3 linked regions of the Yarrowia lipolytica genome follow. Each later gene encodes a partner of the first gene's protein in a complex. Links are inferred from orthologs where the notes say so. Each region holds a gene or a part of one and is shown in the gene's direction. Other genes may lie near its edges.

Region 1 (3,033 bases):
TCGGTGGCCTTGGCCTTGTTCTCATCCTCGGACGAAGAGCCGCTTCGAGACTCAACCCACTCCTTGTACTTTTGGGCCGTGATCTCCTTCTGCTTCTGCACGTAGCCCCGGGTGCCGTGGTACTCCGTGTTGAGAATGCGGTCCCAGAAGGTGAAGAAGGGCTGCGAAAAGTTGGTCTTGATGCCAAAGCTCTGATGGTGAATGTCGTGGTACACGGCATTGTTGGGGAACAAGATCTGGAACGGGTCCCAGGGAATGCAGTAGCCGCAGTGGTCATCGACAGTCTTGAGCGTGGAGAAGCAGAAGAACCAGATGGCTTCTCGGGTAGTCAGGCCCGAAACCATGTATGCCAGGCCGGCTCCACACGAGTCCATCAGCACGCCCTCCAGAGCAGTGTTGTACAGCGCTCCAATGGCGTAGGGCACATAGAGTCTGTGGTGTCTGGAGTGGAACTTTTTGTATAACCATTTGCTCTGGTGCATGGCCCGATGCAGAAAGTACTGCCACGAGTCGAGAATGAAGAAGGCAAAGGAGATTTTGACAAAGGGCAGCAGATAGGTGTAGGCGAACGCCGCGAGCCACGCCTTTGCGGGGCTCGTCTGTCCTCCAAACCGAACCTGCCACGTCCAAATGTCGTGAGCTTCATGGCCAGTCGTGTTGGGCTCCTCAAAGTAGTTGAGTAGCAGGCCCAGAGCCGTCTGGAGCATGTGTTGCTTGATAACGTCTCGAACAACCTCCGCAAACGTGCACTTGTTGCGCTTGGTCACCTCCTCAGGAGTGTGGATCCGGTACTGTTCGAGCAGCTCGTACTGGTCGATGATGTGGAACATGATGCCCGACGTCCAGTAGCAGATGATGGGCAGCAGCAGCGCGAGATTCTCGTCCGAGATCCATGACACGAGTGGTGGAATGGAGTGTTTGTAGATAGGAGGCGGTATCGACGACACGTTGGGGGCCGTCAGCGTTATTGGGCCGAGATTGAAGGTGCCGTTGTACATGTCGCAAGGGGTGGAGCTGTTTATTTCGCTGGAGCTGGCGGTGTAGCTGGAGTTGTTGGCGAGCAAGTCGGTACAAATGTAGCGTTTTTTTTCGTAGGTCAGGGGAAGATACGCGCCAAAGTTGGAAACTCTTAATTGTAACGTCTTGCCATTTTTGGTGACAAAGACACATAACCTTCTAGACTTATCAGATGGGCAGGTGGAGCGATGGACAGAGGACGGGGTTCAAGTTGGGCTCGGAAACCAGGGTCTAGACCGCCCATTTCCCACCTGGCAACCTTCAAATTTCCGAAAAATCGCCACCTTGGCCCTCTTTACTGCCCCTCCCCCCGTCATCCGTGCCTGCTTCTACACTCTCGTACCACAAGTTTCGCCACAGCGTAGCTAAGACAAGCTCCTACAGAGAAAAACCACCCTAGAAAAACACTAATGGCACCATACTTGTGAAGTCAAAAAACAGCAGTAGAATGATCATGTCAAGAGACCGAGGAGGAAGCCCTCTGACGGGGACGTATAACAGTATGAATGGTGTCGGTGGGTGGAGTAGTAGGGGTAGTCACGTGACATATATCCCTAGGCCCGTGTCGGTTCCTTCCTTGCCCCTGATTTTTTTCCAATTATCTGCTTTTCTTGGATTTATTTCGCTTGCACATTTTCGGTCGATCGATGTCTCGCTAGACGCGTCCCCCCAAATTTCAGAGTTCAACTTTGTTGAGCCGAGACCGAGCTGAGTCAGAAGAGTTGGTTTCGGGCGTTAGTCAGCGAAGGGAAGAGCTAGACCGATCATCCCGTGACCGTCACCTCGTGAACGCCAGTTCGAATCCCGCGAAAACCATTTGCAATTTTTCCCTCCCTCCAGACCTCCCTCAAACCCTAATGGAGATCACAAATTTCACACTGCAACATCATCTCCATCAACAATGGCACAGTACACAAAAGCCATGGGCACCGTACGAAAGTACACGCCCGCCACTCTCAAGCGAGACGGTAAGCCCGCGTTTGTGTACGTCTACCGACACCTCCAGACGGGACAGGTGGCCTACACCCAGGTCCCCGGCGTGACGGAGCACCATCTCAACCGACAGTTCAAGGACCCCAACTGGGAGAACAAGCGGCCCACCATGCGACAGGATCTGTGGCGGCCCATGGCCGTTGCCGATTTCGGCGACCACCAGGCTGCTTGTGATGCCTACGACGGCCTCGTGTACCTGCGATACAAGCGAACCCACGACGGCAAGAAGGACATCAAGGGGTGGAGAAAGACCAACGCCGCCGGAAACGTGTGGCAGGACGGCCAGTACCGGCCCGTTTACACACAGGAGGCGCTGGCAGACCTGTCGACCGTCACCGAGGCCGTCAAGGTGCCCGTGACCATCCACTGGGAGGACCTGTGGAGACGAGGAGCCGCTGAGTCCTGGCCTGAGAATGCTGACCATAGCGTTCTCAAGCGATGGGACGCCATCTACCCCCAGTCTCTGGAAAAGCGACTTGCCAAGGAAGCCAAGGTGCCTGGTGAGACGACTGCTGAGCAGTAATGTACATAGTTAAGGAAGTGAAACAAAGAGTGCGAAGCACTATGGTTGAACGGGTCCTATCCATGGGTATTCGCTCACAAGACGTTATACTGGCAAAGTAGTAAAGTGTGGATATTGTAGATGGTCTGGCTTGAGCTGTGGGAGTCGGAGTACGAAACAAGTCGAACTCCGATATATCAATAGTGGCCGGATGAGCAGGAGTCTGTAGGAAGTCATGCAGAGCTGCTATAGCTCGCCTTCTGATACTAGAGACTGAGTCAGCTTATGCAACTAACAACTCTGGGCTCTACCATTCCACCATTGACAACAAAGTCGCTGAAGACTGGTACACATTTCACCAATGAGCACAACAAGTCTCTACTATCGATTTCTGTAGTTATCCTCAGTGTCAACTCCACAAATCACACTTTGAACCCCCACTCTTTTGACAAAGCGTAGGTTCAGAATGGTTGAGAGCACGGGTTCAGAAAGGTTCAGAAAGGGTCAGAAAGGGTTCAGCA
Region 2 (2,848 bases), on another chromosome or scaffold:
GAAGGGGATATGGAGGGGGTCTATATACTTCTGGGGACACCATTTAAGTCTATAACTTGCTCCTAAGATGACGTCGAAGTCGATAACATCTCACATTTCCAATGCAATGCCGTGTGGATAACGACGTCACTTGTAGAAGATCTATTTAGAGCCGTGCAGATGAGAAGTGTTTGCCGATGCCTGGTGACTTAAGCGAGGTGGGGGTCAGATGTGGTGGTGGGGCCATTCTGAAGGGCATTCGAAGAAGATAAAACTGCAAATGCTAATTTTTTAGCGGTTTAGAGAGTTCTCAAGTCATCTAAAAAGTTGATACCATTGGTATTGATCCAGTTGTCGCCATGTGTCCTTGAATATTCCGAGGCATTTAAGGTTGGCTATAATTAGAACCGTTGAAATTAGCATGCATAAATAAAAGTTCGACAGTTCAACATGACGCCAACTCCACATGAGAGGAGCATCCAAGAATAGACCTGGTCAGCTGAACGAGTTGCTCGATCTCAATCTCTTCGATCAGGGTTGTTTTGATTGTTTATTAGAGCATCGAACATTTTGTGGAGCCAAGCTCTATATGAGTGAGAGGTACGAGCAACTAGAAATGCCCTTCACTTTGGTGAAGAACTCGGTCTTCATTTCTCGTAACTGCAAGTGCAAATAGAATTAAATACCCCCTAATTATAGTGTCACCAATACCGAGTTATTATGGTCATTGAGTTGATCCTACGGAGTCGAAGGGGAGTTTGATAGCACTTGCGAAGTCAAGTTCATATCACGTCTTGAGTTCAGGCAACTATTTTACCGAAAGTCCACTCATAATGGGAGTATTTGGGAATCAAACCACCCAGGCTAGGATCTATCTTCGTATAGTTATATGATCTAAAATGTATCATCTATGTATCATCTAGCATGTATCCCTTCAGTATAGCCCCTTGTGTTCCCTTTGGTGCTAATGGATCACTCTCGGGGAGTTTCTATTGATCATTAGACTGGGGTATGATAATTTAGCATAATTGTACAAAATACAGTATGTACTGTACGTACAGTGCCGTACAATCTGTACATATCCTGTTTGTCTATTTCGTTCTATCGTCGACTGGATGTTCAGGTGTATATGATGCGACTAGACACATGTGGGACATGGAGAGAGCTGTTCCATAAAGGAATAGACTGGAGCCCCATTGGATTATGGCCATTGATAATTAATCTTTCCAACTGTCAACTACTCACTCAATACAAGACTATAGTCAGTATGTCATTATTCTCATTTTTCAATCAGCTTCCGGACACACCAATCCTGACTCAGCAAACAAGAAAAACATCCACACGAGAAGCAAAAAAGAATGAGCGGGGGGGAATTAACCCCTGGCCTGCTTGCAATTTGGGAAGGCAGATATTTCCACTACACCACCGCCCGAATGGTGGGGTCCCAGAGTTGTATCGACTATAAGACAGTGGAAATGATCAAATATCCGGCGAAAAAGGCTAGAAAAAAGAGATAAAAACTGTGTAAAGGGGTAAAATCAGTAATATACAGTACTATGTAAAGAATTATTCATAGTTTTTTTGTCTCCAATGAATCATCTCAGCCTCCAACTGGAATACTCAACAAGGAATAAACATCTCTAAAATTGATACCAAAATAACCACAAAAAATGTGACATTTCAATGAACAAATTCCCATCACGCATTTTCTTCAAAAATTCGACCCTTGATCTCCTTCTCCGCTCCCGCCATTTCATCTTTTCAATTTCCCTTATCTCCTATCTCCGATACGAGAACCTTATTTGCTTCCATCCTTCAAGCTTATTAATCATCTCCCAGCAAGCTTATTTTGTCCCGTCACGTGAGAGTGAAATTTTACGGTTCCCAAATCATCACCGCGACATCAAAAACCATTCAACACACAACACAAACATCTCCACACAATGAGACCCTCGTTTGTGACCCAGCTGCTGCGACCATGGAAGAAGGACCGTTCCGGGTACATGTTCAACCTGTTCTACGGTGTGTCGAAAAACGGTAACAAGCGACTGCCCCTTACCTCCAAGCAGGGTAACAAGAACTTCTACAAGGGCCATGGAGCCGGTGGAGTCGGTAAGACCACTTCCAAGGGTCGATTCATTATCAACCGAGACAAGGTCCGAACTTTTGTCGTTCCTGCCGGTCTGGAGGCTTGTGAGCTCAAGCCGTTTGTGTCCCCCACCCTGGAGCCCATCAAGAACTCTTTCCGAGGCTTCTCGGGTCCCCTCGACCCCAAGCTCACCGTCAAGAAGGTGAACGAGTATGTCAAGTCCGGCCCTGTTGCCGAGGAGGATGCCCCCGATCGAAAGAACTGGATCGATCGAGAGTAAGAGACGTGTCGGTACGTGACACACAAACCTGAAGGATGAGCGACTGGACACGAGTCGAAACCAGAGGAGGCGAAAATTGTATATATTGAGCATGATTCATGATGATTGAGAACGGTGGGAGTTAGTAGTTGATGTAGGTCGGTGTAGTGATAGTCAACGTGACGGTGGTGGTAAGTATTAGATGGTGTACTTAGGAGTAGAGTGGTTTGTTTCATCGAACTTATTCCAAAAGACAGAACTTGTTGTATGTGTACATTTGTCTTTCAATCGCTTGTTTTCTACATCTAGAGTCTGGTTTTGTTTTTCGAGAAATTGGCTAAAAACTGAAATACTGTCCAGTTCCACGCAGAATAGATACAATACAGTTGGATTTGATTTATTATATTTTTCGAACGTCGAATCTTCAATTCGATGGGGCACCACACACTTCTGTTCATAGGCCAATTGTAGCTGATCCACAGGCCCCATTCGGCTGAGCACTAAGCCCATGTGTTGCGATC
Region 3 (2,618 bases), on another chromosome or scaffold:
CCCTGATGTAGACCCCATGACCATTATACTTGTAACACGCCAGAAAGGACATTCGCTTCGCCCATTTCCTCGTCCCATGCTGGCGTTCACATTCATAGATAAACTCATCCAGTCGTATTCTCGGAGATGTGCTTTGTGACTCACAAGGTGAAAAGTGAAACTTCAAAAAGATTGTGGGGGCGTCATGTGGCATGGAGTTGGCAGAGGCCAAACTTGAACGTTCAACTGCCAATTACGCCTGGTTTATTCTATTGGCTTCTTCATTTCCGAGTACTTATCTAAATACAAGTGCAAGTCCTTCTCCCCTTATTTCCAACTCTGATAAGCAACCTGCATGATCTTTGTTGGTCCCTTTGTTGGTCTCTTTGTTGAACGCTCTTTGTCCGGCTGAACAAAGACTTTAACTAGATGTGAATAGGTGTAGGCTAACATAGGAGATGGTCTAAACTAACAAAGGGGCCGTTGTGTTTTGATAAAAGGAATTTATAGCGTGTTGGCGTCTTGGTTAGATTAAGACTCTGTAAGAATACCTGTAGTTATATGCTCTACTGGCGTGCAGAGAAGCCTATGGCTTTTATTCAGCATCAGATCGTTCCAAGTGAGCGGAGTGCTGAAAGATGAAGGCACACATTCATTAAACATGTTCATGTTCATTCGGGCATAACAAGCCCTATTCCTTTGGATATTTCGATATTTACCTCCACAGTGTGACTATTCACACTCCATCACCACTCCACCGGGAGCCACACCCTCGCATCGGGTGCAGGATCCAATGTTTGGAGATGCTCAGTAGGCAGTTTGCAGAAGCTACATGTACAGTATACCATTGTATGTACTATGGAGCCATAAAAGGTGATATTGAAACAATTACCCGACGCTTCACTTCACTACTTACGTATTTCACGACGTCCTTGGTGTGCAGAGTAGTGAGTCTACATAGCGGTTCATATCCATCCAAAGATACCACTTGTAAGTCAGAAGCGTCGAAACTAACCAAGTTATGGGTTAATCCGTCAAAGTCGTGTTAATACGGTACTTATGAGCTCAACAGATATGTCAAACTCAGTTGATATATTTGTTGAGAAGTACACGATAACTGGAATGCATCAATATCACTGAGTAATGGTCCAAAATGAGTGGAAAAAGTTGCAATCATTTCATCTCGTGGCTGAAACAAGACTTCCTAACAAACCAAGTGAGACCATCGACTCAATACCCTGAAAAGAGCATCTCTTCACTCGACCTACAACCACGTTTCCGCGGAACGACCGGGGTTCGATTCTCGATCAGACTACTACTAAACTTACTCATAATCTACAAACGAGTACTCCTATACGCTCTCAAAACTGTTCCAGTACAGCTGAAAATGAAATAAAAATGAACCTGAACTAAAAAAAGGAGATTATAAAAACATATTTATTCTCATTTATTCATATATTCCACAATTTGACCTTTTAATACTGTTCCACAATCGACGGCCAAAAATTTCACCTCCAGTTCAATTAAGGTTTTCCACTTGGATCAAAAATTGACCTGCACACCGATTCGTCATCACCACCACACAAAATGAAACCGTCGGTCAACATGCTCAAGCAGGCCGTTTCCAGCGCCGTCAAGGCTCAGGTGCCCGTCATCGACGCCTCTCCGTCGTACATCCCCAACGCCAACTTCGCCAAGCTGCCCCAGAAGCTGCAGGACTTTTTCCAGCGGTTCCCTCCCCAGCCATTTGTCAACTACTCGGCCAAGAAGGGGTTCAAGGACGCCCCCAACGCCAACCCCTTCCTGCCCAACAAGTCGCGAGTCACCAACAAGACCCACAAGCCTCTGTACTCGCTGAGACGACAGTCGGACCTGTACAAGCTGGCCCATAAGCACGGAGTGCACGAGCTGCTTCCTCCCATGGAAAAGACCTTCTTCGAGACCCGACACGAGCAGGCCAAGCCTCTGATTGGCGAGATGGTGTGGAAGAAGCATATCCGAGAAAAGACCAAGGAGTCGCGAAAGGAAAAGATTGCCAAGGCCTTGGAGACCATGGACGAGAAGATTGCCGAGGCAAAGGGAAAGAAACACTGGGAGAGATTGGAGCGACGGGAGCGAGAGAAGAAGCAGTGGGTTTAGACAGATACGAGAGGAGCAAGTGTCTGTACATCGAACACAACCAGATGGATGGCATCCGTACATCTCATTCGATCTACCCAGCAGGAGGATATGTATATAGTAATGAACTTGAAACAAGCCCAGAGCCGAGTGGCTCTTACAGTACAGTACATACTGTAGACTTCTGTGTACGTCGAGATGGTCTTTGCAAGATCGGAGTTGGGGTTTGAAGCTTTGACAAGGTGACAAACACGTCTCTAATGCGTATAGATCCCTCGAATACTGCCCCGAGTATCGAGAGTACTAAACAACCTGGTCAAGAACCAGGACGAGAATATCAAGTTCCAAAAGCCTCTGGATATGAGAATTCCGAGAATTCTGGCCAATTAATCCAAGGGATTGAGATTGTCTTCGCAAGTCGTCGCAGCATTGACGGTTGATAATACTGGTCGTACCTTTCTGTCAATGAGTTTCAGCAGAGAAGATAACTCCAACCCTAGCAAACTCGCCGACAAAGTGGT

The links. The genes of interacting proteins can lie anywhere in the genome.
Region 2: YALI1_E20635g (region 1) and YALI1_A03278g share a complex: the UniProt entries of both Saccharomyces cerevisiae proteins name them as parts of the mitochondrial large ribosomal subunit. The link is inferred for Yarrowia lipolytica from reciprocal best matches to the Saccharomyces cerevisiae genes MHR1 and MRPL27.
Region 3: YALI1_E20635g (region 1) and YALI1_D29852g share a complex: the UniProt entries of both Saccharomyces cerevisiae proteins name them as parts of the mitochondrial large ribosomal subunit. The link is inferred for Yarrowia lipolytica from reciprocal best matches to the Saccharomyces cerevisiae genes MHR1 and MRPL25.

Annotation. Positions count from the first base shown.
Region 1 is NC_090774.1:2,061,643-2,064,675, forward strand, and holds YALI1_E20635g (mitochondrial 54S ribosomal protein mL67), read left to right. Parts: upstream 1-1,918; coding exon 1,919-2,533; downstream 2,534-3,033. Other genes in the region: YALI1_E20626g (uncharacterized protein), read right to left, coding at 1-998. UniProt on the Saccharomyces cerevisiae protein: Component of the mitochondrial ribosome (mitoribosome), a dedicated translation machinery responsible for the synthesis of mitochondrial genome-encoded proteins, including at least some of the essential transmembrane subunits of the mitochondrial respiratory chain.
Region 2 is NC_090770.1:325,939-328,786, forward strand, and holds YALI1_A03278g (mitochondrial 54S ribosomal protein mL41), read left to right. Parts: upstream 1-1,922; coding exon 1,923-2,348; downstream 2,349-2,848. UniProt on the Saccharomyces cerevisiae protein: Component of the mitochondrial ribosome (mitoribosome), a dedicated translation machinery responsible for the synthesis of mitochondrial genome-encoded proteins, including at least some of the essential transmembrane subunits of the mitochondrial respiratory chain.
Region 3 is NC_090773.1:2,984,123-2,986,740, reverse strand, and holds YALI1_D29852g (mitochondrial 54S ribosomal protein mL59), read left to right. Parts: upstream 1-1,566; coding exon 1,567-2,118; downstream 2,119-2,618. Other genes in the region: YALI1_D29841g (uncharacterized protein), read left to right, coding at 2,167-2,217. UniProt on the Saccharomyces cerevisiae protein: Component of the mitochondrial ribosome (mitoribosome), a dedicated translation machinery responsible for the synthesis of mitochondrial genome-encoded proteins, including at least some of the essential transmembrane subunits of the mitochondrial respiratory chain.